Linked DNA regions of Stegostoma tigrinum. The protein of the gene in region 4 interacts with the protein of the main gene of each other region in a pairwise test. Links are inferred from orthologs where the notes say so. Each region holds a gene or a part of one and is shown on either strand. Other genes may lie near its edges.

What was found.
Region 1: the proteins of meox2a (region 4) and transcription elongation factor A protein 1-like interact in binary tests that used the Homo sapiens proteins (3 or more experiments, as listed by UniProt). The two-hybrid records come from large-scale screens. The link is inferred for Stegostoma tigrinum from reciprocal best matches to the Homo sapiens genes MEOX2 and TCEA2.
Region 2: the proteins of meox2a (region 4) and chrd interact in binary tests that used the Homo sapiens proteins (3 or more experiments, as listed by UniProt). The two-hybrid records come from large-scale screens. The link is inferred for Stegostoma tigrinum from reciprocal best matches to the Homo sapiens genes MEOX2 and CHRD.
Region 3: the proteins of meox2a (region 4) and fkbp6 interact in binary tests that used the Homo sapiens proteins (3 or more experiments, as listed by UniProt). The two-hybrid records come from large-scale screens. The link is inferred for Stegostoma tigrinum from reciprocal best matches to the Homo sapiens genes MEOX2 and FKBP6.

The regions. Positions count from the first base shown.
Region 1 is NC_081372.1:27,434,039-27,441,446, forward strand, and holds the start of transcription elongation factor A protein 1-like, read left to right. Parts: upstream 1-4,016; 5' UTR 4,017-4,100; coding exon 4,101-4,109; intron 4,110-4,206; coding exon 4,207-4,323; intron 4,324-5,349; coding exon 5,350-5,412; intron 5,413-7,408. UniProt on the Homo sapiens protein: Necessary for efficient RNA polymerase II transcription elongation past template-encoded arresting sites.
Region 2 is NC_081367.1:43,961,580-43,969,285, forward strand, and holds the start of chrd (chordin), read left to right. Parts: upstream 1-4,529; coding exon 4,530-4,671; intron 4,672-4,999; coding exon 5,000-5,103; intron 5,104-6,371; coding exon 6,372-6,520; intron 6,521-6,606; coding exon 6,607-6,737; intron 6,738-7,025; coding exon 7,026-7,137; intron 7,138-7,706. UniProt on the Homo sapiens protein: Dorsalizing factor. Key developmental protein that dorsalizes early vertebrate embryonic tissues by binding to ventralizing TGF-beta family bone morphogenetic proteins (BMPs) and sequestering them in latent complexes.
Region 3 is NC_081380.1:13,248,680-13,256,373, forward strand, and holds the start of fkbp6 (inactive peptidyl-prolyl cis-trans isomerase FKBP6), read left to right. Parts: upstream 1-4,220; 5' UTR 4,221-4,262; intron 4,263-4,481; 5' UTR 4,482-4,579; coding exon 4,580-4,615; intron 4,616-7,057; coding exon 7,058-7,175; intron 7,176-7,694. UniProt on the Homo sapiens protein: Has an essential role in spermatogenesis. It is required to repress transposable elements and prevent their mobilization, which is essential for the germline integrity.
Region 4 is NC_081355.1:69,823,320-69,831,552, reverse strand, and holds the start of meox2a (homeobox protein MOX-2), read left to right. Parts: upstream 1-4,978; 5' UTR 4,979-5,205; coding exon 5,206-5,692; intron 5,693-8,233. UniProt on the Homo sapiens protein: Mesodermal transcription factor that plays a key role in somitogenesis and somitogenesis and limb muscle differentiation. Required during limb development for normal appendicular muscle formation and for the normal regulation of myogenic genes.

The DNA.
Region 1 (7,408 bases), on a different chromosome or scaffold from region 4:
GGCCTCCACTGCACTGTTTTCAGAATGCTCTGGAAACTATTTAGGACAAAGATGAGGAAAACATTATTCACTCAGAAGATGGTGATTCTTTGGATTTCTTTACCCAGAGGGTTTTCGAAGCTCAGGTAATCAATATATTCAATCTAGAGACTGGTAGATTTCTAGATACAATTGGTATCCAGGGACATGGGATAGTCCAGGAAAATGTAGATGATCAGCCACCAACTAGAATGATGGAGCCAATTTTACAGGCTGAATGGTCCACTCCTGCTTCCATGTTTTGTTTAGACAAAGGCTGCAATGAGGTCCAGAAACAAGCGGCCTTTGCTGAACCAAAACTGAACATGTGAGAAAGTTACCGCTCCACAAGCACTGCTGGGACTATTATTGATAAATTACCAGACTAGATGTAGTTCCATTTTTTGTGGAGAAGACACAACTGGGGTAATTTTCAACATTACCAAGCAGATGTCAGTGTTGGAGATGTACTAGAACAACTTGGCTAGTACTCGTCTTTACAATGTCTGCCAAAATGTTGTCAGGACCCATAACTTCTGAGTATCTAGTATTTTAAGCTACTTCTTGACATTATGTGGACCAAATCCGCTGTCTGTAGACTAGCATCCATGATGCGGTGACCTCAGAAGATCACGTTGGATTACCTGATCAACATATCAGCTGAGAACTATCGCATATACTATTTTTACTGACGTGTTGAGGTTCCCCATCATTAACAATGGGGAATTTTTTTGAAGCCTCTTCCTGCAGTAAGTTACTTAATTATTTGTTTCCATTCATGTCTGAGTGTAGCAGGATAGCAAAGACTTGACCTGATTCATTGGTTGCAGGATCACTTAGCACTGTCTATTGCATTGTGCTACAATGTTTGGAACACATGTGGTCCTATGTTTTAGCTTCACCAGGTTGGTACCATTATCTTATTTTGCCTGCTGTTGCACCTGGTATGCTGTTCTGCACCCCTCATTGAATGAACGAGAGTCGACCCTCTGGTTTGATGTTAACGGTAGAGGAAATGCTGAGTTATGAGGTTTCAGATTGTGATTAAATATAACTCTGCTGCTGTCTCAAAGATGTTCCATTTTGGCTGCTAGATCTGTTTTGAATCCATCTCATTAAGCAGCACAGCAGCACTGCAAAAATAATCAGTGACAAGATAACAAAAGTGTGGAGCTGGATGAACACAGCAGGCCAAGCAGCATCTCAGGAGCATAAAAGCTGACGTTTCGGGCCTAGACCCTTCATCAGAGAGGGGGATGGGTAGAGGGAACTGGAATAAATAGGGAGAGAGGGGGAGGCGGACCGAAGATGGAGAGAAAACAAGATAGGTAGAGAGGAGAGTACAGGTGAGGAGGTAGGAAGGGGATAGGTCAGTCCAGGGAAGATGGACAGGTCAAGGAGGTGGGATGAGGTGGTGGGTAGGAAATGGAGGTGCGGCTGAGGTGGGAGGAAGGGATGGGTGAGAGGAAGAACAGGTTAGGGAAGCAACAAACAACTGCACCTCCCATTCCTCAGATGACATGTCCATCATGGGCCTCCTGCAGTGCCACAATGCCACTGCATCCCAAAATCAGCCCAGCCTGTCTCTGCTTCCCTAACCTGTTCTTCCTCTCACCCATCCCTTCCTCCCACCTCAGCCGCACCTCCATTTCCTACCCACCACCTTATCCCGCCTCCTTGACCTGTCCATCTTCCCTGGACTGACCTATCCCCTCCCTACCTCCTCACCTATACTCTCCTCTCTACCTATCTTGTTTTCTCTCCATCTTCGGTCCGCCTCTCCCTCTCTCCCTATTTATTCCAGTTCCGTCTCCCCATCCCCCTGTCTGATGAAGGGTCTAGGCCTGAAATGTCAGCTTTTGTGCTCCTGAGATGCTGCTTGGCCTGCTGTGTTCATCCAGCTCCACACTTTTGTTATCTTGGATTCTCCAGCATCTGCAGTTCCCGATATCACAGTGACAAGATAGATCTTTGACTTCACAAGGACTACATGATCATTCCTACAATACTGTAATGGTCAGATGCATCTGCAATATGTAGATTAGTGAGGGAAAAGCTCAAGAAGGTATTTTTTTCCATCTTTTGGGATACCTCACCATTATCCTTCAAAAGGAGATGAGGCATTTTAAAAGAATCTTAGTTCAATCTTGCTTAGAATATGGTCTTCTTTTGGCCTTCTCAAATTATTCACAGAACTCAGCTAGGCACCATACTTAGAAAGCTTGTCAAGCTCTTGGAAATAGTGAAAGAGATTCATTAGAGTGATACTACAGATGAAGGATTTTCACTATGTGGAGAGCTGGAGAAGCTAATATTTTTTCGTAGAACTGAGAAGGATCTAATTTGATTTAAAATCATGAGCATTTTTGGTAAAGTGAAGGAGAAATAGTTTCCAGTTGGTAATCAGGGGAGACAAACTTAACGAATGGCAAAACAACCAGAGATAATGAGGAAACATTCCAACATGCAGGAAGTTGTCGTGATTTGGATACATTGGATGAAGGAGTAGAGGCAGCAGATTAAAGAGTGACTGTCAAAAGAGAATTGAATAAGTACTTTAAAAGGGGAAATAGGCAAATGGGGAAAGATCAGGACAATGGTATGGCTATTGAATTAAACCCAGAGTAAACAGAAGTACTGAGCTGTACCATTCCAAAAACTGGGGTGGAGGTAGCTGTGGTCCAAGAAAGAAGTTTGTCATTAAACTTTGGTATGTGCTAATTTCACCATATAGTGGAAAATAAATTTAAAAACAGAAATTCATAGTGCAAATTTCATTGATACTTTTAGCAAGCATGCTAGGTGTTGAAAGAAAGAGTAAACCAATGTAAATGGTACATTTTATAAAACCTGAAGAAATGAAACTCCAGTGAGACAATTAAAATTAACTAATAGCAAAGTAGTTAATTGGTCATTATCAATCACATAATTAGAAGTTACTTGGTCAAAACTTTCACGTATGAATTTAATTTGTGAATGGAAGCTAAATGTTTCACTACCACATAAGTTGTTCTCATTCCTTTTGATTTCAAGTTTTAAAAATTTATGATAACAATAAAAATCTTTTAGCCCGTAAGGACAACGTGAGAAAGGGTCCAGAACGCAGTGCCTGGGCATGTGGTGGAAACAGGATTAACTGAGACTTCTAGAGGGCATTAGATAATTGTTTGGACAGAAATGCTCTAAGTATATACGGTAAAAAGGAACAGATTAGCACCAGATAATATGAGCTGAATCGTCTTTCACTGTAACCATTGTGACTTCCTTTATTTCCATATCAGATTCAGCTTTACTGTAAACCCAGTTCAGATATGCATTAATTTCTTTCTATCTAAATTAAGAAGTTAGACAGGAGTTGCAGTGAAGATATTACATCCCAATCAATCCGCCGCTAAAACAATGTCACTGGATTTTTTTTCAGTATGTCTTTTGAATGGACTGTTTCAGGCCATTTTTTAAAAGGAAGCAAACCCGTACAGAACAGAATTTAATCAATAAAAACGGAAAGAACTGCGGATACTGGAAAATCAGGAACAAAAGCAAAGTTGCTGGAGAAGCTCAGGTCTGGCAGCATCTGTGATGGAAAAAAAGCGTTAGTTAGCTCTGTTTTCTCCCTTGACAGAATTTAATGAATCAATTTCTAAGGTTTATGACTGATTTACTTCAATGCTGACATGAGACTTTCTTCGTTAAAAGTTACGTTTCGAATCTTCTCCACCCACTCTACTCAAAAAGGAATGAAAGCTTTAAAGATGCCAGGTCTTGCTTGGACGACGATTCACGGTAGCGGTAGATGTAACCTAAATTCCCTTTTTCCACAACAGGGGAGGCGCGAAGAAGTTTCTCGAAAAGGAACCCAAACCCAACGAACAGATTGCAACTTCAAGAGAGGGCGCCACGAAGATGATTTACCTAGAAACGCACGCCACCGAGGTCGCCCAGAACATTCCCCGGGCAACGCGATGCATATTGGGAATTGTAGTCCTCTAGCCCAGCGGTGATAGTTGGGAACTAGCCTTTGGTGGCAGAGGCGGAACTACAAAGCCCAGGGACACTTGCGTCCGCGGTGCCCCGGACTGTGAATGGCTGAGGTAAGCGCCATATACAAGAGGAGAAGCTGAGCGGCGGAAGGGAGCTTGGCGTTTTTTGGTACTGATGATTGCGGCCATTGTCTCTCTTTCACCTTAGCTTTGCGAAATCAGAGACAGAGGAAGAAAAAAGAATCGCAGGAAAAGAATGGGCAAGTTGGAGGAAATCGTACGCATCGCGAAGAAGATGGATAAGATGGTGTCTAAGAAGAACACGGTGGGTGTCGATGCTGGCCGTCCGCCCGGCCGGCTGGGGTTGGTGATGCGGCGCAGTGCCCAGCCCGGCTGCTTGGCTGTGGGTTCCCTGCCTCCGGAACCGTCAGGATGCGGACAAGCCAAGTGCAGTGAATGGTTAAGCTGCTCACAAGCGTGAAGGGCATCCTCGGGCAGTAAACGTTAACTTTTATGGGGAAATGCTGAGGCTTCTGGTGCCACACTCCTGCCTGGTGTTTATAATGTAAATAAATGTTGGATCGGAGCGCGTCCTCTGATCCCTTGTGCTCATCTGCTTTTAAATTCATATTGCTTGTAGTTTTGTTTGGGGGAGGTGGAGTGTAGTACACAAGGTTATTTGAAGGAGTTCCTTTTTTTAGAAATAATTTTTTCCAGTAGTGGATATTTGATTGGAAGTTATTGTTTTCCTTTGTAGGTGCTGATATGGTGATGGGTATTTTTCAGAGAACGTTGATTCAATTTTTATTTTTAACTGGTGTATTCTGAAATAAAAGGTGTGAAGTTAAATATTTCAGTAATGCTCACAAGCGATGAGGATCTCTGGCCTTGCACTTGATGCATTTACCCTATATCCTTGGCTGAAGTTAACTTTTTCTTGAGTTGATAATAGAGGTTTGAAGGTGTGGAGGGGAGGGATATGAGTGCAGTCAATATTGTTTGAATTGCAACTTTGGTAATTACATTTGGCATATGTATATTTTATATATCCTCTGTTAGCTGAAGCGGTGTCATGATTTTTAATCCTTAGGATTAATTAGGCTTTGATTCGGGAGTCACTAGGGTGCAGACATCTAAATGCAGAGAAAGTTTAGTCTGCTCCAAACGTGGGACAACCTTTAGGTATTCTCTCTACTAGTGCAGACTGAACATCATTTGTTTCTAAAATTCTTCTGTGTTGACCAACATATTGGTTATAGTATTGTAAATTTACATGCACATGTCTTGGTCCTCAGTTATTCAGCTTACACTGCAATAACTTATTGTTGTGCTTTTTCTGTTAATTCTGCAGAGTGGTGCTATCGATTTATTGAAAGAACTTAAAAGCATTCCCATGACTTTGGATCTGTTGCAGGTAAATGCATTTCGCATTTATCTAAATTAAACTCCATTTACCACGTCCTGTTGTACTTTTGAAGCAGCCTTCTTCGTTGTCCACGACACCGCCAATTTTAATGGTGAAAAGTGTATAATGTTGCCTCACAAGGTGCCATCTTGGGTACAAGTACCTAGGTACAGAATCTTAAGAACATGGTAGATAGAAAGAAAGAACCAAGTTTAGAGTTAAACATTGGAGTAATTATAGCACAGTGACACCTGCTTAGTTTTAAGTAGAAAATAAAGAAATAAAGCTGAAAATTCAAGCATTATAGTCTTTGACTGCTTAGCTATGGTGAGTCTGCACTTTAAGGAGTCACCTTGACCGGAAGTCCACACTGAGGCCATGCTGGACCAAGAGGCTGCCACTTACTGCCGAAAGACCAGCGTGCTGAGAAATCGCTCCTCCAGGCTGTGAGACTGCCCCGCTACGTCAAGTCTGCACTGAGTCAGAGGCTAGAAAGCTGTGGCCAGGCAAAGAAAGAAGAGGGAAGTGGGGGGCAATATGAGAGGGGGAAAGAAAAAGGGAAACGTTTGGAGTGGACAAGTTCCGCTGCCATCTTGGATGTTTAGATTGCTCAGATTTTTGTGTCATCTGCACATGTCCTGACCAGATCTCCCTATTTGCATCTAATTAACTTACATAAAAGATATAAAGAGCAGTGGACCCAGCATCGATCCATGCTAAAGTATGTTTGACTGAGGCCTCCTGTTTCTTTTTTGTGTCCCTGAACATTGAAACCTTATGGTGTTAAAAAAAGAAGGTGCTAGATTTTGCTGGATACAATATCATGGAACTGGCAACTCCCATTTCTTGCTCGGATGTCATTGTTCCCAGGCTTGCAAGAAGCCCAACCAAACATACTCTTGGCCTCACTATTTACTAATGTAACAGAGATTCTGTCGGAGCACTGGAATAGAAATGAATTACTAGGCATATACTAACTTAAACTCAGATTTTTTGGCCTGTATGGCATAAGACCTTTCCATGTTAGAATGTTGGGTAAAATTACAAATTTTTTTTAAAAGTTGAATTTTCCATGTCATTGAAATACCTCAAATGACCCCCACTCTGAATAACTTTTGTAGAACATTGGCACACAATACCTTTGAACCACAAAGTTTTCTGAAAGGATAGAAAATATTCTCCCTGAAGAAACTAATTTACAATTCAGCTGTTATATAAATGCTAATGCAATTTAGACATTATTGGTTGGCCAGCAAATTTTTGGATCAGTTTTCCTGGGGCATTTGTCATAACAGTAAGCAACAACATTTTGCTGCAGACTGATGTATAGAGCTAATTTTCATGTGATGGTCATTTGAGGCATAGTGTCATTAGGGTCTCCACCTCTTTGAAGGAACATCATTTGGCTCTGTTAAAATAATGATACTCAATCCTGTGGACAAGAACAGAAACTTGTAACTTGCAAACAGACATGCTGAAGTGATTACGATTTGTGGTTTCCTTTTCTTGTATGTGAAATTTGCCAACATCTGTGCAACAAAGCCAAATTACTCATATGTAAAATGCAAGATATCAACGTAACTGAAAAATGGGCCCAATCACAACAACTTCCTGCCTTATGATGAGGCTGTTGAATGGCTCTCTGTAAGTGGAGGAAAATATGAAGTTTACTTGCCACAAAAAGTTGTGATAGGAGTCTTATCTTTGCTTTGAATATTTTCCCCGATTCATAAAATGGCCACATGCAAACCAATTGAATATTAAAATCAAGAGGCATGGACTTGCTGGTTTCCAGCATGCATTATTTGTGATGATAATGCTCCCAGTAAAGTGAGTCATTTACTTGATTGAAGTTCATGGTTGATGTAGGCGGTGCCACCTGTGACCTTCTTACGATCTGAACAGTAGTAATGTAATATTGTTTTTACTCGCATTTAGTGTTGTGGAGGTCTATGAAGACTGCTCCCTGCCTTGTCCAGGAAAGACCCACCTGTCATACTTATTT
Region 2 (7,706 bases), on a different chromosome or scaffold from region 4:
TGTAAAACAAATGTGTTTTAAAGCTTGCTAATCGATTGGGACTCGTTCCTGTCAGTCTTTTCGAAGTTAGCAGATACCCTCTTGTAACAAACTCACAGAATGCGGAAAAAATAGAAAACGACTACAGAATCCGGTTAATTGTATCGAAATACACCCAGTGGCATGTTAAATCATATTTGTAATAAAATAACTAATTTAAGGAAATACGTTATGCGTTGTTGCAAATATTCTGTTCCGATCCTTAAACAAAATAATTTTTTTCGCAATTGAGATGTAGATTCATCATTTTTGTTTGTACTGATTATTGCAGTTGGATTATCGTTGTGAAAATAACCTGGAGCAGGTCTGGGAAGTGAGTACTGACTTAGCCGGAGCCGCAGGCAGGGTTAGCTCAAGTGTGAATGTGGTTCATCGGCGAATCACTCATTGCTGCCAGTTTAATTTTCGAGCTCTCATTTTTAAAAACATCAAATTTTAAAAGTTAGTGGAAAATACAAATCTCATGTCGACTTACTGAAATGCTTACCAATTGGTCTTAATTCCAGAAAGCACCGAAGCACTGCTTGTGAGGATGTATTTACCTGCAGATCTTTATAATATGCAGGTATGTTTGAATGTATAAATATGTAGAGAGAAAATAAACGGAACTAAACATGTTGTCCCTAAGGAATGGAAATAAAGGTATTCAAAAGGTAACCAATCCCACGAAAAAACATTCCTGTTACGTCTTCGATCTTTGTAACAAATAACAAAGTAACTGTTTGCAGATCAGCGATGATACAATATCAGCACCTTAATTGTGAAATCGTTTCTAATAGTTTTTGTGTAATGTTTTGTGTCTGACAGGATGCCACTGTACATTATACAGATGCTACCGCCCTTTTATTGTATGAGCAGGGACAGCACCCGTCTTAGGAGCCTTTACTGAATTTTTTAAAAATGTTAATTCTTCGTTTCAAACACCTCCTTGTGTTGCCCTGGAGCAATTTAGAAATGCAGTTAGATACTCGCTCTGATGCACACTTGATCAATAATATTGAAAAAGTTGAAAGCTTTTTCAGGAACTGCAAGTTGAAAGTGGCAACAACTTATTGACAGTGAAGTGGTAGCGCCTAACTGATTTGCTGTCTTTTCTTGACCTTCTAATTCGAAGAGGTTTGAGGCCTTTTTGTAAAGCAGTGTGCGAGTTGAATTGCACTCAGTGGTGAGCCGGTATTATTTATTATCAGCTCCTTACAAACAGCTATGGAGCTTCAGAACTGCATTTCAAAGAACGCTGGCTGAGTTTGCAGTTCCTTGAGCTAAAGAAACATTTCTTTCCAAATTCAACAGAAAAAAAAGATCAAGCCAGGTTCTGTTGTTGTCAGGAATTCCTGCCACTGCCCTGTGAACAAATATTTGCTTCTCCGCTCTGTGTATTTGTGTGGCGCTCTGTTCACCACATCTAGGGCTCACAGCTGGTCTCCAACATCACTGAACCTCTTCAAACCATCTCTCACCAGCACAGCTCGGCTCGTACCTTTTTACATTTAACAGCCGGGCAGAGCGGTCTAACTAACCTGAAAATAAAACAAAGAACTGGAGGTCTGGCACAAAACAGAAATTGCTACAGAAACAGAACTGGTGGAGAGTCACTGGATTCGAAAGGTCTACTCTGCTTTTCTCTCCACAGATGCAGTTAGAACTGCTGAGTTTCTCCAGCACATACTGTTTTTGTAACTAAACAGACTGTTTGAGAAGAACTTCCACAGGGACCAAGTCTACCAAACGCCAGAAGTGACACCGAATTAAAATCAGTGCAAACTTTAAAGTGAACCGTCCAATTTTGAGCCTAATCCCACTGACTGCGCCTGCAAATTTACTCAGCGCAACACGGTCGCTTCACAAGCCCGCGGTCAATGTTAGATTTCTGACTGTGCGTTTGTCTTGTGGTCCTTCTTAACCTTCAGTTTCGCTGATGTACATGAACAGTTTTAATTATTTTTAAAATCAATATAAATCTGTTTTAGAAAAGCAGAATCGGACGGGGTTCCCTGTTTAATATGTTGGTATTGGGAAGATCTACTTTTAGGATCATCCCAACTAAATGATTGGTGTTTGCTATTCTTCGATCCCAGAAGCTGAATGGTATCCGGAATTCTCCCCGAGAAACGGTGTCTCTGCTCGGTTCCGCCGTCCCGCTGTTCTACAGGATATAGTAAGAACTGCTAATGCTGGAGTCAGAAATAACAGTATGGAGCTCGAGGAACACAGAGGCCAGGCAGCATCAGAGGATAGAAAAATTGATCCAAAACATCAACTTTCCGGCTCCTCTGATGCTACCTGGCCTGCTGTGTTCCTCGAGCTCCACACTGTGTTATCTCTTCTGCAGGAGACGTGATCGTTCTCTGGGATCGTCCTCAGTTCCCTCTGCCCGGATCCCTTTCTGATTTCTGCATTGGTATGGCAGCAAAGCCCGTAACTGCAACCAGCGAGGATCAGCGTTGCCATTTCCTGCCTGGCGGGTGAAGTGGTACTCCCTTGACACGGCCCACTTGATTTTAGATTATTCTGAATGCTGCACCTATCAAATTACATGTATTTCAAAATATGATACTGAGGATGCCGGAAATTTGAAACAAACAGAAAATGCTGGAGAACTATATCCTTTTCCACCATAAGACATTACAATTAAGCTTATGGGATAACTCACAAACTGCCCTTACAAACTGTGCTTCTTTCGTTGGTGAAGTACAGTGATATAGGTTGAGGCAACGCAGCATTTAAAGATCGCACACAAATTTTCCAGAATGTGCAGGGTTCATGTGAGACAAGGCAGACCAATCTGTGTAGGCCGCAACATCTTCCATTGAAGAACTGTCTGCCGAAATACAGTTTATGAGTTTACGTTCAATTTCAGTATTGTACATGAAAATGCCATGGGATCTCACAGATTACGGGGGAGGGGGAGAGGTAATTAGTCGAGTTTCTGTTGGGTTCTGATGTAGAATTTAGCTCGGAGAGTGCTCTGAGATTGCTGCATGTCAGACTGGTCTAAACTTTCTTTCTAGATCTCCCAATTCCACTACTTCAGAGTGTGAGCATTAGTGAGCTGAGGAGAGATGTGAACAATATTACAATTCCACGCAGACGTATTGAAGTGAATAAATTGTACTAAATTTAGGCCACTTATGCAATGAGAATTCTGGAAGTGATATTTTTAAAAATCGTTGGGAAAGAGTAATTAAATATAAACTTATAGCCCAGTAGTTGGCAGTCCTAGAATGATTATGCAGTCTATCATTGGGTTAGTTATTTGATTGGCGGAGGGACTCATCTCCCCGAAATGGCCCGTAGAATTTCTTCGCGATATTACCCAATACATTTCGCATTAGAACCAACTTCATCGGCTGCCTACTCGTTTAAATAAATCAAACAGATGTGTTTCTTTGAGACCGGATGATGGACCATTCCTGTAGCCAGAAATCTTAGTAAGATATGTCTGGAATATTGGATTCGGGAAGAATCTGAGCTCATCATTATTTGGGATAGTCTCAGATTCACTTGTGCTTCAGGAAATATTCTCCTTGGCAATATTTATTCCTGTTTTATCCCAATCTAGATGATGCTACAACATTATATGCATTACATGCTTACAACACATTGTGCAGGCGAAACGAAATTGATTAAAATTTCGCGAACAAAGGCGGCCGCTTGTATAATGCATGAATCTGAGATTTCTCTCAAATTGGTGGGAGTGAAATCTCCCACAGCGTCGGCATCACACGATTCACTTAAATTCAAGGCAAATAAAGAGGACCGAGGAAACGAGATCCTGAACTCCGATCCATGTGTAATACACGTTGGATAAACTGTAAATACAATGGACCAGTCCCAGAAATGGAGCTGACCATTTCGATTGGAAATGTATACGGACAGGCCATCAGGGTACTCCGATACCTAGACAGTTTACAGGTACATTGCAAAAGCTACAAGGAAAGGCGTTGGCGCTCTAGACAGTAACACAATCAAGCAGAGTGTACTTTGCAGCTTTCTGGACTTGATTTTACAGACAATTTCCCCCCGTCTTGTTCTGCTTTGGACAAATGCAAATACCGCCCCGGGCTTTATAAAAGTGTATTTCACTGTTCAATTAACTCAATTTCGTAGTGGCAGTTCTCTGTTTTAAAATACACAACTAGATTCTCGGCTCCGAGTCGAGCCACGTCTGGTTTTCATTGTTTTAACACTTTCCCATTGAGTTTGAAGAGGATCCCACGCTGTGCCTGCTAATCATCTTTCTATGAGTCGATTTGAATATTCCACTGATTAAGGCTTTATTGACTTGGATGCATATTCAGGGCTTTGTTTGGAAGTATATAAAAACAAGGAGTTCGAGCACAGGGAACTATTGGAGTGCTTGCATTTCTTGTAGCCACAACAAACCGACACAGCTTTCAAAAGCTCCTCAAGGCCTCTCGGCTGACTGTGGTTAGTTGGAGCAAACCGTTGCCCAGTGAGAAAGTGAATCGTTGGACTCGATTGACACAATGAAAACAGAAGAGCTGGTTTCTGTGCTGCACCTTGTTTTTATTTTGAAATTGATAGATGAAGCAACCAGCTTGCGACTGAAGGTGCCTTCTCTACCCATTCAGGCAGAAGATGACCCCGTCCTTGGGAAAGAAGCTGCAGGTAACTCCGGTCGCCAAGACTGGTTTGTCATCTTACCATGTTTCAGGACTCTGCGGGAATGGGCTGCAACAATAACAGACTGATTGCAGTTTGTTCTCCAATTTACCCTGTCTCTCTCTCTCTCTCTTCAGAAGTGGCTCTTTTGTTGTAGAAATGTAACTCTGGGAAGTTTTTTAATCGAAAAATGCTCAAGTGTTTCTCTCCTTAGCAAATCGAATTCGAACTCCTAACTGTTGAGAAGAGGAGTGAGGATAATATTGGATTTGGGGGTGGGCACGTCGGCCAGAGAAAGGCCGAGCCCTCACATGTTCGCCTTATATCTCTGTAGGCTGCTCTTTCGGTGACAAGCTGTACGCGCTCCGGGATACCTGGCACCCTGACTTGGGACAACCCTTTGGAATCATGCACTGCGTCGTTTGCCATTGCGAGCCGGTATGTTTCTAATGGCCATCGGATGGTTTTGTTTTATTTGGGACAAAGAACTCAATGCCACTCATTTTATACATTATTTACCTGTGTGTTGTGGGGGGCGGGGGAGGATCAAATGCATCCCTTTGCTTCCTGGGTTTCTATTGTGCCAACCGAGAATTCAGTTAACTTATTTTACTGTCTCCAAATGTAATCTCCCTAGTCCATTCAGTATTGTCAGTAGATCAAATGTAATAATTCTTTGCTATATTCGCACCATCATATCTCCCTGGAACGCACACAATCTGTGGCATCTTCTGTACATCCCTTAACCAATAAGATCTACTTTACTGCTGTAGGGTCACCTTACAATATTCTTTACAACATAGCAGGTTTCCTAGTCTAGAATCTCCGTTATGGTCTTCATATAATACGATTTTCTTCTCCTTTATGATATGTGAGCTCTTTTCCCATAGCCTTGGCGGTATTCATTCGTTGTGGCCTAGAGTCTGCTTCACAGAATTCGTGGTATGGGGTATAGTCAGAAGTCAATGCCTGGCTTGCGTTTTCTGTGAATCAATAGAAGGAAATGTGCAGCGGCTCTGAACTATTCGACAAGTTCCCCTGTAGGGTTTTTTTTCCAGTAACCAGGGAGCTGAGCCACACACTGCATGCCCCATGAGGCCACGAATTAACAAATCCTAATTTTCCACTACATTTAACATAAACCAATTCTACTCGGCAACCTTTCTGACCACCGTCTGCAAATTACCTACAATTATCTGAGGTATTACTTCCGCATTAACAAGAGATTGGGAGCTCTAAGGAGACCAGTACACATTTCAGATTTTAGTAAAATGCCCACCTCCTCATTTTTAATCGTGTAGGTACAGTCTGATTGGATTCCAACCCCCCCACCCCGCCACACCCCCTCCCCAACCACCACCGTCCCTCCTCCCGGATACGTGTGTATTTGAATAACAAACGTGTTAACTATATTGCTATTAATCAGGATTGAGTTGTTTATTGGGTAAATCTTGTTATCAGGAATTATGGAACCGGACAGCAAATAAATCGATGCAAGGATATCCTTTCGGTAAATAAGGCGGTTTTCTCCTTTTGAATATGAGTGGCATCATCACTTCGTATGTGAGATCTCCCTAGACCATTCGGTGTTGTCAGTAGATCCAATATTGGGAGGCGTTAGATTCCATTGTTTGCAATCGGGTTATTTTTTGGCTATTTCAAACAACAAAAATATGATTTGTGTTTCAAATCTTTACCTTTTAAAGCAAATAAATCGAAGAGGCAAAGTTAATGGCAAAGTAAACTGCAGAAATATTAAACACGACTGTCCCGAGCTGCCCTGTCGTGCCCCTGTTTTATTGCCCGGACACTGCTGCAGAACCTGCCTGAAAGGTGAGCTTTTTAACCCTGATCAGTTGACAAGATCTTACCTTACAGAGCGTTTCCAGACAGCGCCAACAACCCTCCCTTTCTATCGGCAGACAACGCCAGCAGCTTCAGGAAGAAACCAGAGGAGATATTCGATGGATTTGAACATGTTCCTCTTGAAAAAGAGGACAATCTGCAAAAAAGCCCCAATGATCGTTCCTACATCACCTCTGAGGATATTTCAATGGACGACAGTAGAACAGGTAAAATACTAAACACCCAAACTAAAGCAGAAAACTGCAGATGCTGGAGATCTGGAAGATAAACTGTAGGGGAAGCTCAGCAGGTCTGGCAGCACCTATGGAGAGTTCATACCGGACTGGAAACACTCATTCTGTTTCTCCCCTCTGCTGCCAGACCTGCTGAGTTTCTCCAGCACTTTCGGTTTTTGTGATAATAGTAAATACTCTTTGTTTGGACAATAACCCAAGTGTGTAGTAATAGTGTGATGCTTGTGCTGGAGAATTCATTCAGCTTGTTGCCCTCTGTAGATTTTGTAGCCTTGCTCACAACATCTGGACGATCGCCAGCATCCAAAGGAGTGGCTAAGGCTCGACTTACTCTGGTCAGATCGAACCTCATCTTCGCCATTCATTATGAAAGGTATTTTCAATAGGGGAGAGGGTGTGAGGGAGGGGATATTATGGAAAGGGAGAGGAAGGAGGTCATACTGTTCTCCAGCAGCTCTAACAGCTTCTCACAACATTTGTGGATGCCCACCCTGTCAATATAAACATAAAAACGGGCTGTACTTGGGCCTATCTAGGTACTTTATGTACCCTTTTTAAAAAGTTGGTCGGATATCTTTTGAATGTTAGCAATGAGTCGTTGCTCCCCTTCCTCCACCCTGTAGTATTAAACTGAGCTGAGTAATGGGGATATACTTAAAGCCTCATGTACCAAGCTCCTTTGATTGTATCCAGAGGTGACCTGGTTGACACTCTGTAGATAGCCCAATACAGTTTCCAGTGTCAGTTAAAATAACTGAAGGAACACATAGAATCTGAGAGTCAGCATATATTCTTTCACTTCACACAACCCTCTGAAAATATGGAAAGACAACCACAACCCATCTCCCTTGCTCAATAACAGATTCTGCTTTTGCCAACAACTCTAACCTCTCACTGGCCAAATGCAGCTGAATTGTACCTGCTCATTGTTTTTCCTTTAAA
Region 3 (7,694 bases), on a different chromosome or scaffold from region 4:
TGTTATCATTTCTGAGCACACTGTCTAACCCCGTAATGTCCTACTCTTTTCTTTCCTCTGGAGTTGAGAACCAAAAGAATAAGAGTAGTTTATACAATCCCTTGGGGTTGCCCTGATTCAATTGGACTGTCTCAGATCTGCCCCTTGGCTCCATTTTCCCATCTTTGACCCACTCATCCTTTGATACCTTTAACACAAATCTATATATCTTGGCTTTGAGAATGCTCAGTCAAAGTTTAGTGACTGAGCCTGTGTTGCTTTGCTAAATAGTTACGCGCAACTGTGGTACTGAACCACACTGACTGTAGTTTGATCCCTCGCTTGTGCTGCATCAGCACTGGAACTGAACTCTGGGCTCTCGATTCAGAAAGGCAAATTGCTCCTGCTGATATTTCATCAACTGCCACAGAAAGTTAGATGTGGACTTTTGAGGCCACCATCAAACCCAGTTGTGAAAATCCTTTCTCTGCGCTCTTTCTAACATGTTTTCCCCAGCTGTCACCTGTTCCAATACCCATTGTTTGGTGTGGCTCACAGAGAATGGATGTTTAACTGGGAGACTAGGGAGAGACAGCTGCATGCATTGGGAGAACGGTGACAGTTACAGTAGAAGAAGATATTAAATGCATTTACATGGTACTGTATCTGCATGTGTATGTATTGATCAAATGTCTGGATGAGAATTGATTACACTGCAACCTCCTTGACCTGATATATCTCCTCTGTCTCACCTTTTGGAGACAGGGTATTAATGCATGCAGAAACTTTGGTTCGGTGACTTGGAGTCATTAATGGGTGATCAATGAGACAGGCCTCTGGGCCACAAGGTCTCCCAGGATTGCTAGCAACAAATGGCACTGAATAACTAAGCTGTTCTGAAGTGAAAATGTGTTTGAGTGGAAATTGATTGCATTGCATATAAATGGAACAAAAACAAAATCATCGCTATAACGTTGATCTATTTATAGTTTGGTTGTTGGTATTATCGAGTGTTGCCACCAGCCCCCTGATATCTGCAATGTCACGCTGACACTATGTGCTAAGAGTCATGTAACACTAGTTAGTTTGTAAGTTGTTTGCTTGTGGGTAGGGTGGTAAAAGACAGGCACTGTGGTTGACACAAACCTAGGGTCATTCTCTTTGTAGACATTACGGAAACACTGAATATGACAAGACAGGAAAAACCTGTGCACTGGCTCTTTACATAGTCCCACTGTCTGACTCAGGCCCCATCTCCTGTTTCCTTTATGTGCCTCCAAGTATTCATCTGACTCCCTATTTACATCTACATTTGACTTTGCTCAGCAGTTTTCCCCGTGAACGATCAGGACAGAGATCCGCTTTCATGATTAGACCACCTCAGGAAATGTTTAGAAGTAAAGACCAGTCCGTTATGTTGGTGGTGTGCTGTGCAGCGATACTGCATGGTATGGAAACACCCTCAGAGGTCCTTAAGTTCAGAATTGGACAGAAATGCCTGTCAGTATTCATTGACCTGTAGACCTCTTCTGTCAGGTACTGAGACATTTCTAATATGGTCATTACAAGTCCTAGAGGTATACAGCATGGAAATAGACTCTTCGGTCCAACTCGTCCATGCTGGCCAGATGTCCCAATCTGACCTCGTTCCATTTGCCAGTATTTGGCCCGTATCCCTCTGAATCCTTCTATTCATGTACCCATCCAGATGCTTTTCAAATGCTGTAACTGCACCAACCTCCACCACCTCTTCTGGCAGCTCATTCCATATGTGCACTGCCCTCTGCATTAAAATGTTGGCCCCTCAAGTCCTTTTTAAATATTTCCTCTCTCGCCTAAAACCGATGCCCTGTAGTTTTGGACACACCACCCCCAACCCCAGGGAAAAGGCCTTGTCTATTTAGCCTAACCATACCCCTCATGATTTTATAAACTTCTATAAGGTCACCCCTCAGTGTCCAACGCTCCAATGAAAATAGCCCCAGCCTATCCAGCCTCTCCCTGTAGCTCAAACCCTCCAACCCTGGCAACGTCCTCGTAAATCTTTTCAGAACCCTTTTAAGCTTCACAACATCCTTCCTATAGCTTGGAGACCAGAATTGAATGCAGTATTCCCAAAGTGGAATTTGTGGAGTTATCTATATTTTTGTAGGACTTTTGCTGCTTCAGGTGTGAAGCACGTGGGAATCCTGCCCCAATACCCGCTCGTTCTCTGGGTTGAGATAAAACACTCCATCCCACTCGACGTATTTTAAGTGCAGATGGTGGGAAGTGCTGCCGCAGTAGTGATGCTGATTAAATAACCACATTCCTTGCCCAAACAAAAACCGAAATTACCAGAGAAACGCAGCCAGTCTGGCAGCATCTGTGGAGTGAAAATAGATTCAATGTTTTGAGTACAGTGTCCCTCCTTCAGAACTTCCTGTTGTCCTTTTTCACTGCTGTGCTCTTAAAACTGACTTAGTGCTGTACCCCCAGTACAGTTTTGGTCAGAATTCCTCTCCCCACCTTGCTCAGAAGAATATTGCGGTGAATACAGAAGGGAAGTGGGTTTGGGCTTGGGATTCTTTAAATGGTGGGCTCGCTAGTTGCTAGCCGAAGGCTGTTGCAGTACACATCTGTGTTGGAGACCTTTTACATCTGCTGCGATATTCAATCTCCTCACAGGAGAGGAGACAGTGCTGCATTATGACTAGCCAGTGTCCCAGGGGAGGCACAGAAACACAATTGAAAGAGCATCCGATGAATAGGCAGAGGGCTCCAATACAGCTTTGGGGCTGTATTATGAGGAGTGCTGTGCTTTAAGATGGAGACTTCAATGTAACAATTATAATATTGCCTGGTAGAAATAGATTGTGTCCAGAAAGCCATAAATGTGTTACCTTTGGGACAAACTCGAGTCATCTCTTAAAAGCTCACTGTATCCCCTTGGGAAGAATTTTGGCCAATAACCCCTCATATTCATTTACTTTCCAATGAAAGTTTAATGTACAAAGAGCTATAAGATGAAGAACACATCCAGTGTCATTACCTGGCAGGTCAGGAAGTGCTTTTGTAATTTAGCTTTTAGATGAAGATTACCGCTACAAAAATGCCCTAAAGTAAAACATTAAAAGGTTGCCTTCAGTAAGAAATGAAACGCCAAGCAACAGTAATGTAAGAATCTACATCAACAGACCTTGGGCCAGATTAGATTTTGATATTAAAATGCGTTTACGTGCAGTGTATTAGCATCTGCACTGTTTTACACAAGGATATCTTGGAGCGAGACTGAGATCAGGTCGATAAATGGAAAGCTATTGCCAGCAGAAATTACATCGGAGATTAAGAATCAAAGTAACACTACCAAAATGGCAGGTTTTGTTGAACTGAGGTTTTGCTTTTTGAGACACCAGTTTGATTTGAAAAACATGTAGTTTGGTTTTATTGTGTTATACACAGCAGTTACCCATACCCTGAGAATTTTCTACATTGAATTTTGTAAATTTCCCTTTTAATAAAACATTTCACAGGCTGGTGAGTCCTGCTTCATGACACCGTGTACCTGGGAGCCAGACTGCAGCAAGGGTGGTAATGTGCTGCATTGTCATTTTTGATTTAGTTTAGGTGCCATGTATTAATTAAATTCCCACTTTACAGCACTGACTTAAAGCACTTCATTGCCAGAGTACTTTTGATACAGCCATGTGATTCTGTCAGGTGCTATACAGATGCAAATCTTGATAAGAAAAAGAGTAATTGTGAAATACCAATGGCTTATTGTCAAGATTTCCCAAACAAGGAGATCCAAGGTTGTTTGGGTCATAAAAGGGCAGTTTATTCCTGCTGGTGGGACCACATGTAAATTACAGCGTGCTAAGTGACAGATTAAACACGGAGGTCTTCTGGTTGAAGAAAGGAATTGTCACAGCTGATTCTGTACATTGATTAGTGTTAGAAATAGAACAGAATCAGGAGAAACTCCAATGGCAGTTGGGTTGTGAAGCAGATTACCAGGAGGACTGTGACGGGTACAGGGCTTTGAAGTAGCTGGCTATTTTTCAGGAGAGTGAGCGATTTGAGGACAATGGCAACTCACTGACCAATCCCCACCACTCCCTGCACTCGCCTGTCACCATCCCACCTACCTTCCCCAGCCCCACCCCTCCTCTCTATTTATTTCAGAATCCCCTTCCCCCTCCCCCATTTCTGAAGAAAGGTCCTGACACGAAACGTCAGCTTTCCTGCTCCTCTGATGCCGCCTGGTCTGCTGTGTTCCTGCAGCTCCACACTGTGTTATCTCTGTAAGTGTGACATGCTTGTTGAATTTGAAGGCTTTGTTCTCCATTTGTAAAACTTGTACCATCTCCATTTAATCCCTTGTAGTTCTCATCATACTGCCATGACATACTTCAGGCATGTTATTGCTATTGTTCCTAGAGATTAAGCAAAAGTGAAACTAGTTTCATAAAAGTTCACCCAAATACAAGGTCAGTGGTGACTAATGTTCATTTTCTCTCTAGACTTTGATCTCCCTGGAAACTTCATACCAAGTGCTCTCCATTTAGGAGTTTGACAGCAACCAGAGATTCATCTTCGTTGTTGTGTCTGTATTAACAGAATGAATGGACCTCCTCCGAGCCCTCATGGCCATCTGGTAATTATTAACATTGTCATTTTGATTTTTTTCATTGTTAGGCACGCAGCTACTTACCTTCTAAACCTAGATAACAAAGTGTGGAGCTGGATGAACACAGCAGGTCAAGCAGCATCTCAGGAGCACAAAAGCTGACGTTTTGGGCCTAGACCCTTCATCAGAGCTCTGATGAAGGGTCTAGGCCTGCTGTGTTCATCCAGCTCCACACTTTGTTATCTTGGATTCTCCAGCATCTGCAGTTCCCATTATCACTGATACCTTCTAAACCTATCTGGCTTCTGGTCTCTGGCCAGAGTGCAATGCAGTCACAGCATAACTTGGATCTGCTGGTATTGTGCTGCTGTAAGCAGGGACCATGTCCTGCCAGTGTTTGTGAAATGATGGCATGCCCCTTTTTGAGTGGAGCTTGGCACTATGTAATCATTCTGTTCTTTGTCTAGCACTTGAGGGTTTTGAATAGGGTATTGTACCATGTAACATGATGGCTAGCCATTGCCAGCATCTGCTCAGCCAGCCCAGTCCCTCTACAGCACCATTATTGGCTTCAATACCTCGGGGCTAAAGAAAGATAGAATTGCTATAGGCTTCTGATCCTCGATTTTCAGTTGGACCCCTATTAAACAGGGGTAGGGATTTTGAGAGAGTACTGCTTGGACTGAACTGGGCTGTGATACCTCCGTTGTTGAACAGCAAGCCCACACTTGTATATGAAGCATGGTTGCTGCGGTAACATGCATAGAGTCGCCAGAGTGATTCAACACCTGGAAAATAATTGGGAGGTAAGGGAATAACTTTATTATGCAAGTTGTATTTTCCATTTAACTTGGGAGCAGAAAATTACACCAGAGAGAGTGTACAGATGATTCCTCAGAATGTGCGTGGCATGGAGTATTTCAGCTGTGAAGAGAGATGGATTGATTTCTTGACGTGTACCGGAGTACAGTGAAAAGTTTTGTTTGCAAGCAGTACAGGCAGATCATAGTAAGCAAGGATGTGCAGATCAAAGTTTTAAAAAAAAAATCTAAGAGGCATACAGGTAACAGCGCTGTACGTCAGGCAAGATCAACATTATTTGAGGCTGGAGCCCATTCAACAGTGTGATAATGGTCAGGAGGAAGCTGTTCCTAAACCTGCTGGTGCGTGTGTACCAGCTTCTGTATCTTCCTGATGGAACAGGTTGTAGGAGGTCATTACCAGGGTGTGTTGGGTCTTTGATAACCCCCTTTCTGTGGCAGTGAGCCGTGTAAATAGAGTCCATGGATGGAGGGTTGGTTTCCATGATGGACTAGGCTGTGCGCACACCTCCTGTAGTTTCTTACAGGGCCTGGGTACAGCTGTTGCTGTACCAGGCTGTGATGCACCCAGACTGTACACTTTCAGTGGTGCATCCGTTGAAGTTGGTGAGGTACCTTAAGGGCATTCCAAATTTCCTGAGGAAGAAGAGGCTTTATTGTGCCGCCTTGGCTGTCGCATCTACATATGAAGCCCAGGACAGGTTGTCGGTCATCGTCACTCTGAGGAACTTGACGCTCACCACCCGCTCAACCTCAGCACTGCACATGGGGACGTGTTCTCCTCCTGACTTTCTGAAGTCAATGATCAGCTCTTTAGTTTTAGCCAATGTTGAGACAGAGATTGTTCTCTTTGCACCACATCACCAAGCCCTCTATCTCCCTTCTGTATTTTGACTCATCGTTGTTAGATATCTGTCCCACTACGGTGATATCATCAACGAACCTGTAGATAGCATTTGTTTGGAATTTAGCAACACAGTCGTAGGTGTACAGGGAGTACAGTAGGGGGCTGTGGACATATCCTGGGGGGCTCCAGTGTTGAGTGTCATTGTGGAGGGGGTGCAGGTACCTATCCTCACTGGGGTCTGTGGGTCAGGAAGCTGGAGATCCAGTTGCAGAGGGCAGAGCTGAGGCCAAGGTCACGGAGTTTTGGGATCAGTCTGGATGGGATAAAGGTGTTGGAGACCGAGCTGTAGTCAATGAGCAGGAGTCTGATGTAGGTGGTGTTGTTGCCCAACGAGACTGCGGTTGTTTTCCTTAAAGCAGCAAAGGCTGAGTGGGAGCATATGATAGAGGGGTCAGTAACCAGAGGGTGCACTTTTAAATGCAAGGAGCAAGAGGTTTTGAGGGGATCGGAGGCAGAGTTTATACCCAGACAATGGTAGGTATTCGGACCTCGGTCTGAAACGGTGTTGGAGGCAGGAACCCTCAAGACATTTTAAGCTCTTGAAATGACTCAGTATGCAAGGCTACAGAGCAAGTGCTGGTAAAGTCGATTGGACCAACATGGGTGTGATGGCCTGCAGGACTGTTCTCCATTCTGTAAAAATTCTGTGATTCTATGACTAATGTCAAATGTAAGGCTCAATGTGAATATTGCAGGTGTGCAACACTTCTTTCAACGATATTTAATGTCTTTTGATTTCAGAGCCCCTTCTACTACATGTCTCAGAGAATGCAGGATGTGACCGGTGATGGTGGTGTTCTGAAGGAGATTCTCCGACCTGGCTCGGGCAGTGTTATCCCATCGACTGCCTCCGTGTCTGGTAGGGCTGGTCACGGAGCTACCCTGCGCCTTTCGTGTAGCAACATGGTAACCCCTCCCCACACTGATGGACCTCCAGTGGTGAGGAGTTTCTCTCATGGAAACGAGGGAAAAATCTGAAAGACCCACAGTCCCCACTTTTATTTTTATGAAGCAATTTTTTTTTAATCCACAAATTCCTGTTTCAGTTTTCAGTTCCGAGGGGGAGAGCTGAGCTCGGTGATATTGATGGAGTTGGAGATAGAGGGGTACTCGCACCGAAAAAGCTGGTTTCATTGGTGAGGAAAGGCATAGGGAGCCCCAAATAGCGGCAGAGATTCACAGGAGGGCTCTTGATCATTTTAAGCAGAAACGGAATGGTTGAACTTTACCTTTTGCTGCAGAAATTTCCTGTTCCTTGTGCACAGTCTTGTCGCCTATTGCGTTCCTTTCTTATTGGCCATATGTAGTGTGAGGCCCTACATCACATGAAGAGTGTGTGGGATGACCTGGGCAATTGCTTTGTTGATAAGGAAGGCCC
Region 4 (8,233 bases):
CAAGTTGCACACTGTCCTGACTTGGAATGATGTTACTGTTCTTTTACAGTCACTGAGTCAAAATCTAGCCCCATCAGCATTGTGCAAATACCATTTGGACTGCGATGGGTCAAAAAGGCAACGAGCCACCACTTTCTCAAGGGCAATTATTATAACCAGCAACCCTCCCAATCCCAATAATAAATGTGAAAAGGAAAACATAAACAGCCAGCTTACTGTTAATGATGATGCTCCTGAGTGTCAAGTGGAGACGAGATTCTCACTTGTTAGAAATGGTCATTCTGAGGCATTTAGGCAGAGTGGATCTCACATTTGTTACAAAGATGCACCTTTTCCTGAGGACTTTGAAAGGATTGTGTGCAGTGGTTCATTTTAAAAGGTTGAGCCACCCTCAAATCCCGCTTTGGAGTTCCATTTGATTGTGGTCTCAAATTCACCTTCCCCTTTACCCCCAAAACCTCTGAACCCCTTGTTCATCAAAACTCAACCTTCAACAGATGGCATTCCAGAATAAACATGGAGGCCCAGTCCTCCTGCAGGACATCAAGAAGCCAAAGCAGGATGAGTGGGGCCTTTAACTCATTTTCACTGCTTTTTGAATAAAACAATTCCACAAACTAATGAGAGAAAGAAATAAAATCTCTCTTGAAAGGGAGTCGTCTCATTTTTAACAAAAGAATCAGAAGTTGCTGGAAAAACTCAGCAGGTCTGACAGCATGTGTGGAGAGAAATCGGAGTTAATGTTTCGGGTCCAGTGAATCTTCAGAAGTTATTTCTAAACGGTGAGATTATTTCAGCGTCTCGCTGCATGCGATAAAATCAGTCTGAAGTATTGTGTAGGAAAGGAAGGCCTGGAACATGTCACAACTTTTTGTTTTAGCAATCATAACAACACGTATTTCACAGAGAAAATGTTGGACACACTGAATAGGTGGTTGGCATTTTGAAGAGAATATGTTTGTTATTGTAAAATAAAACAAAAATAAAACAGATGTGTTAGTGTTTCGGGTGTACGCCCTTCATCAAAACGCAGTGTAACTCCTGGAGTTACAGATGCTGCAGATCTGCAGAATGTTGCAATCAACAGGCAACTTCAATTAATCTGAACCAAGTCTACACTGATGTCCGCGTTCAGATTTACGCCTCCTGTTTACGGTGATCTGTTGAAAATGAGAAGTTTCAATCCTTTATCCACCCCTCCAAATGACCTCCTGTCGCCGAATCCCCTGAAACTATCTGAACTCTAATAATGCGGAGATCTGGAGGCTCAGTAACTGGGGCCCGGTCGGTTTCCCCGTCAGGAGTTCTAAGTTAAAGGGCCTTTCGGAACACCCGGGGCCCGGCATTTTTCTAAGTATCAGACCGATGAAGATTAAGTGAAATCTCTTGAAAGCTTGGTGAGGAGATTGTAAGGACATCAGTCTAGCGGCATCTGGTTCCCGTTACTTGAGTTGTGCCATCTTCTGAAATCTGAATCGTTGTGTTGAACGCGCAGTGTTTTCTGTCAGATCCCCGATCCTGAAACCGGGTGCCAGCAAACTGAATATACAAATCCCTTCAGCCTCTTGTTCCGATGAAGAGTCAGATTGGACTCCAGATGTTAATATTTGTTTCTCTTTGCCCAGGTATCGCCAGATCCGCTGAGTTTGTCTGGCATTTGCTATTTGCATGTCGGATCTCCAGCATCAACAATGCTGTGCTTTTGTAACTGTACCAATTATTTGGCTTTCGCCTTCCCACCCCACATTTTTATATCTTAGATAAATAAGTAGCTGTCAAGAATTTTGCCTCGAATTATTTCAAGTTTTATTTTTGTTTGCATTCTCAAAAGCATGGTGCCAAGTATCTCGATCATGAACTGAAGGGAAAGAATTCCATGTTTGGAGTTCGGGGGGGAAAATGTTTGCAGGTCGCACGCTGTGCCAGAAATTAAAGCGAGTTTTGCAAAATGTAGCCGCTATCACTTTATTTCCCAAATGGAGAGGCAGGGACAAAGTCCATTTTAGACAAGTTGATTCGCTTTCAAAACAAAAACAAACAGAACGATCCGCAGGTGCTGTGAATCAGAAACAGGTCTAGGGGAGGAAAGGTCACCGGACCCGAAACGTTAACTCTGATTTCTCCTCACAGATGCTGCCAGACCTGCTGAGCTTTTCCAGCAATTTCTGTTTCGGTCCCTTTTAAAATACACAGTGAGCATGTCATTAAGAGAGGACCCAATGAGTACGTTATTCGGGTAGAGTTCACGTTTCAGCTCACTTCTGCCCAGTTGATAAAAAAAATCTCTTCACCATGCTTCTAGACTGAGTATTTTCACCATTTATTTTGTTTTCTTTCATACTTTCAACTTCGGCGGTTTTTCATTTCTGTTGTCGTGTTTTACATTTTGTTAAATGCGGGCCAACCACTCCAGCGTGTTATACGACCAGGGTAACATCTATCACAGCAAACTCATACTGAAGGGCAAATTTGGCACTGTACAGCAGCTTTTGACTCGTTCCACAATCCCTCGTCCGAGGTTAAAAAAACTCTGATTTTACCTGAAAAGCGCAGTATCACAACATTCAGGACGGAAAAATTCGCTCCTAGACAGTGAATGACTCCAAAATCCACTGCACATCAACATTATCGCAGAAATCAGTAACCCCCTTATTAAAATAAAAGTTTTTATGAAGCTATCACCAAAGTGACATTCAGCTGAGTTCAGCTCTTGCGGTGAGGATCTTGCTCCGGATGGGAACATGTGAGGAACAGAGTCCCTGATTCAGCACGTTTGATGTTATTTCACTCAAAACACTATGACATGTACTTGTCTCAACAAAGAACAGCTCTCGAACACTGAGGGAGCCTTTCAGCTGGAGGGATTTGAAGAAACTTGATTTCATTTATTTTTCAATAAAATTCTCAAATTACCAGTAGCGCCAAACGGGGTTCAGGAACAGTTTAGAATTTGCCAGCGATCTCGTTACTTATTGATTCCTAACTGCGGAAAAGAGGCTGTTCGGCCCTTCCACTGTGTGAGATTGTTCTGAAATAGTGCCGCAATTACCTGTAAGGAGATGGAGACTGTTTAAAAGTTGGTTGTGTTGAAGATGATATTGATCCCAGTCTTTTTCACTATTGTATAGAGGTGCCGTTTTCATTGTCGATGGACACACTCTCAGAGGGGAGGCACTTCTCTGGAATACACTATTTTGCTGTCCCGAGTTTCCGAAATTAATTGAGCCCCGACTGATTTGCGTGAAACATTGCGCAATGAGATGCCTGGGTGACAATTCCTGGTCACATCTGTGGAACGGAGACAGAAATCCGCCGAAACTTCGCTGGTGCCTCGCCGTACAACCTGAACCGCTCCGGCAGGAAGCTCAACTACCACCTAATCAGCTCCAGTCGTTGAAGATGTTCGGAGTCTCTAAGAAAATGTGTACAAATCGATGTCTGCGAAAAGCAACACAGGGCTTCCTTTCTAAGAAACGAGCGATAGCACAAATCACGTTACATTCGTGCCAACAATAAACTTTCTGACATTCGTCTCAAACGAGTTTCTTTTCAATTTCTGCTTTTGTTTCGGGAAAATCAAATTGTTTACAGAAATGATTAGTTGCTAGCATTCAGATTTGTTTTGCAATTTTACCAATAACAAATATCTTTATTTTCGCCCAATGGTTTGTCAATGAAGGAAAACATCGTTTCACATCGACAACTTTTAACCACAGGATTGGTAACACTCGGACAAGCGATGTGATTCCAGGAAAACACAGCTCCAACTTAATTCTGTCCTTCGATGGGAATATCAAGGCAGAAGCGATTTTTCACGCGTTTTCATCCACTGGGAGCCTTCTGTTATATAATTCCCGGCCATCCCCCTTCCCCTTCTGGTTTAAACATTTGAATTGACTACGGACGCTGACAAACTCCTTAATATTAATTCTGGCGACGAATTTTCGAAGAATTATTTTGAGGGACCTTTTTTCTGGTTGGGAGGTGGTGGGGATTTGCATGACTAATTAGATTTCACATTAGGTTTCAAAAGAATTTTACTCTGTTTAAATCCATTTTGTCTATTTCTTAGATGATCTGTTTTTTAAAGGATTTCTCTCCGTTTTGACTCTGTTTCAGATTTAACAGAAAAGGAGCACGGGAAAGGGCAGCTAATCCCGGGAATTAAATGCGATTATTGAACAGGATTTTTTTTCTATTAACAAATGAAAACATTCACTTGCAAATCAAAACGTCCATCATGAGGACGGAGTAACTGATAGACAGGAAGATCGATTGGGGAAGGGAAGTGTCCGGCGTATTTTGTTTCACAAGTTTCTTTTTAACCCTAACCCAAACACCTAAACGTGACTTCATCGGTTAGGAATTTATTCTGTCATCTGAAGATGTGCGGTTGTGTTTGCTTTGAGGACTCTGATGAGAGGATCAATCGTTCCCTTTCGCTCTCATTGTTCGCTGCTTTGCGGGACGCCTTGCTTTTGGGCTGAGTTGTACAGACGGCTCTAGTGGCACTGACTGACAGACACAGGTTCACTACCCCCTAAGTTGCGGCACGTTAGAGACATCTGACACCCCAGAGCTCCTAGAGGTTTTTTTTGTGGGGGGGTGGGAGGAATAGTTTGCTCCCACATCCACCTCACCCCCCCCCCCCCCAAACACACCTACCCACTTCCATTTCTTCAGCATCACCCGTCATCTGCAAACACACAATTCTCACATCGACAATAGCAGGTCACAGCTATACGCAATAAGGAATAAAGCCTGCCCTTAAACTGGTACAAAACCTTGTTTCTCTTTCTCTGCGCCTGCGAATTTCCGGTCATTAATTGCCATGATTTATAGGGCTGATGTTTTTTTGGAGGTAGCTTCGCATGTGGCTGGGACCTTGCCTTAGATCCAGCCCCCCTCTCACATTACAAACTATTTATATATCTTCCACGATTTCCCCCTGAAAGCAGCTCCCTGGGACAACGTGCGATTGGCTCCACTTGTCACCCGAAAATTAGCTCTGCTTGTGTGTGTCAGTGTGTGTGTGTGTGTGTGTGTTTGTGTGTGTGCCTGTTTATTCAAAGGGCTCCCGGCTGTTAAACAGCGATTGATCCAGATCTCTTTTAAAGAACCCTGCTTTCCTGGAAGCTGTTTACTTTGAAATCGAAGGTGCTTTGGATATAATTCCAGCCGCTTGGAATCTGAAACCCCGCTCCCATGGATCATACAATATTTAGCTGCCTGCGCGGCTCACATGCTCCAGCGCAGAGCCTGCACCACTTCTCTCAGTCTCCACTAGCTCTCCATGGAAGATCAGACCATGTGGCTTTTCCAGACCTGTCTTCTTCTTCTTGTATCATAACGGGATTTCCTAATGAAGAAAGCATGTTTACAGCTCAGCGTCATCATCATCACCTACATCATCACCACCGAGGTCATCCCCAGCAGCAACCCCAGGCACCGGGCGCTGGCCAGGCAACATGGCACATCCCTCAGATCTCCTCACCCCCTCCCCTGGCGCGGAACACACTCTGTCTCCAGTCGGAATCCGGGGGCCCGGAACTGGGCTCCAGCCTGGCGGACAGCAGTCCCAGCTTGAACCCCAATAACCCGCTGTCCTGTGTGTCGGGGGATTACGGGAGGCCGGCGGTCACTCCAGTGGAGACAGAGAAAAGGAATTCCAAAAGGAAAAGTGACGGCTCAGGTAAGCGACCCGGCTTCAGTCGTTTCTGAGCAGCGGACGCAACCAACTATTTCGCGCATCAACTTTGTGCAGATTCAAGCTGTACTCAAATTGTTCAAAATCACTCCAAATTGACTGGCGTAAACTGATGTAACAAACCTGGCGTTGGTCTGATTCATTCGTTCAGTTAACGCTCACCTTCAAAAACAGACATCTATATTTCCCCATAGCCCTTAACTGATTGGTTCTGGGCTGCTCTTGCTTTTTTTTTGTTTTGCAACCTCCAAACACTTTTGTTAAAAGAAGGCAGAGTTTTAACCCGATTCTTGGTCACATCCCATATGAAACCGGGAGCCGTCAAAATTCAGTCACGGGCCAATACTGAATGGCAAATCATTAAGGGTACTTTAAATGGTAAGGAATTGCCATCAGCGTTCCATTGCAATGCCGCTGTCTGAAATTATGGAATAAATGCTGGACAAGAAAACATCGACATCGAACGCAATCATATTTCACATATTTATCTTTTAAATCCAATTACAATGAAGCACCGAATACGTGATCGCCTGTAAATTCATATCTCTCTCCAATAGTCTCCATCTAAAACAAAACAGTTCTGTGAAATTCTTTCCTAACACATTCCACTGATTAAACGGCTTTGATTTTTATAGTTTCCATATAGTTCGGAATATTTTCCCCTTTCCATCTCTCTTCTTGTGTCTCGACATCGAGTTTACTGACTCGCGTTGCCCTCATTTTGCATCCCGCAGACTTTAAATTGTGTATTTGGTAGGCTTTGCTGTCGTTAGCTGCTCTAAGAAATTAAAACAATAAATTGTTCAAGCAATGGGTAAGTGTAAGTAATAGAATATGTCTCGTGCTATTCAAAAAAAGTTAGAAACCAGAACTGCATTGCAGTAGAGGCTCGATTCCTCGACAAAAGCGCATTGTATACATTGCATCCGACTTGAAGCCAATAAATAGTTTACGTCAAGATCTATGTTAAAAAGCCTTTCGATAGTTTAGTGGAAAGCTCAAACATTCTGCAGCTAAAATGGAGAGTCCCTTTTTAAAAATTATTTTCGTTTTAAATTCAAAGAGATTGAACCTAACGCTGTATGACATTTCTACTTGACGAAAGCATCGTCTTCCCCCGAAGATTTATGCTAAAATATACTTTGCGACAATAAATCTTTTGTCGGTTAATGGGCTGCATTTCCTCTGATTCACACATACATCACCAAACCTTACGAAAATAAAGCATAGGCAGGAAATAGAAAAGTCCTTTTCAGTTTCACTACAAAGTCTGAAAGTTTAAACTGCAAAGAACCAGACTCCGTATTACTGTTTTTACACCTGCTGCCAGCACCATTTCAGTCCTTCGATTATTTATGTTCATTTCGTGGTGTAAACAAAGATGCAAGTCCTTACTGAGTCACACAGAAAACGTTTTACTCTCAGAGATCGCTTCTAGTCAGGGCGCACGCCCTGGTGAACCGGTTTCGGGAGATAGCTCAGAACTCGCCGTACAAAATAACATTGTAACCTTTATGAAGTGGGAACTGTAAGTAGTGAATTAATGTTCCGTGGAATAGACTAAAGTACAAAAGGCAAGTCCCGTTTTAAGAAATCCAGATATGTGATTTATGTAGAAATTTCTCAGCTAAAGTATCTTCTCCTCACTCTACCAGAAAACATATTAAAAAAATACAGACCAACCTTTTTAAAGATGTTTCTTTCTAATAGCACTTTCATAATAAAGCCCTAGTGATTATAAAACACAAAGTAAGTATAATGCTATATAAGACGATTTGAAATCTTATTTTTTATATCAGGAACTGTTTTCAAAGGTTGCAAAAATCCATTTTCTGTGTTACTTGTAGAAACTTAAATCAAATAGTTAACTGTCATATTGAACGGTGAACAATAAAATTAAACATGAATTTCAACCCTTTATGATATAAATTATATACTTATGCAGAGAGAGAATTTTTTAGAGTATCTGCAAAATGTTATGAAAAAAATAACCTCAATTGCCTCAAATGAGGATGATAGAATTGTTCTCTATTAATATATGTGCAAACTAGTTATACTCAGTCTGCATTATGAGAAAGGAAATCATATTTAACCAGTTCATTGGAATTCTTTGAGCTGTGACTAAAGCGGTACCAGTATTGAACATAGATTTCGAGAAGGTTATTGATAAGGTGGCACATCAATAATTGCAAAAAAAAAGTTAATGCTGCAGAGGGTAACATATTGGCTTGCACAGCAGATTGACTAATCAACACGAAACAGAGAAAAGGCATAAAAAATTCATTTTCCATTTGGTAAGATGCAATGAGTGATGTGTCACAGGGTTCTATATGGGGGCCTCAACCTTTTATAGTTTAATAAATGACTCGGATGAAGGGCCCAAAGCATGCTTCCTACTTTCCTGATGACACACAAGTAGAAAGTAAATTGTGAAGTGAACATAAAGAGGCGATAAAGGAATACAGATAGATTAAGTGATGAGAAAAGATTTTGCAAATTGAGTATAACATATGAAATTATCTATTT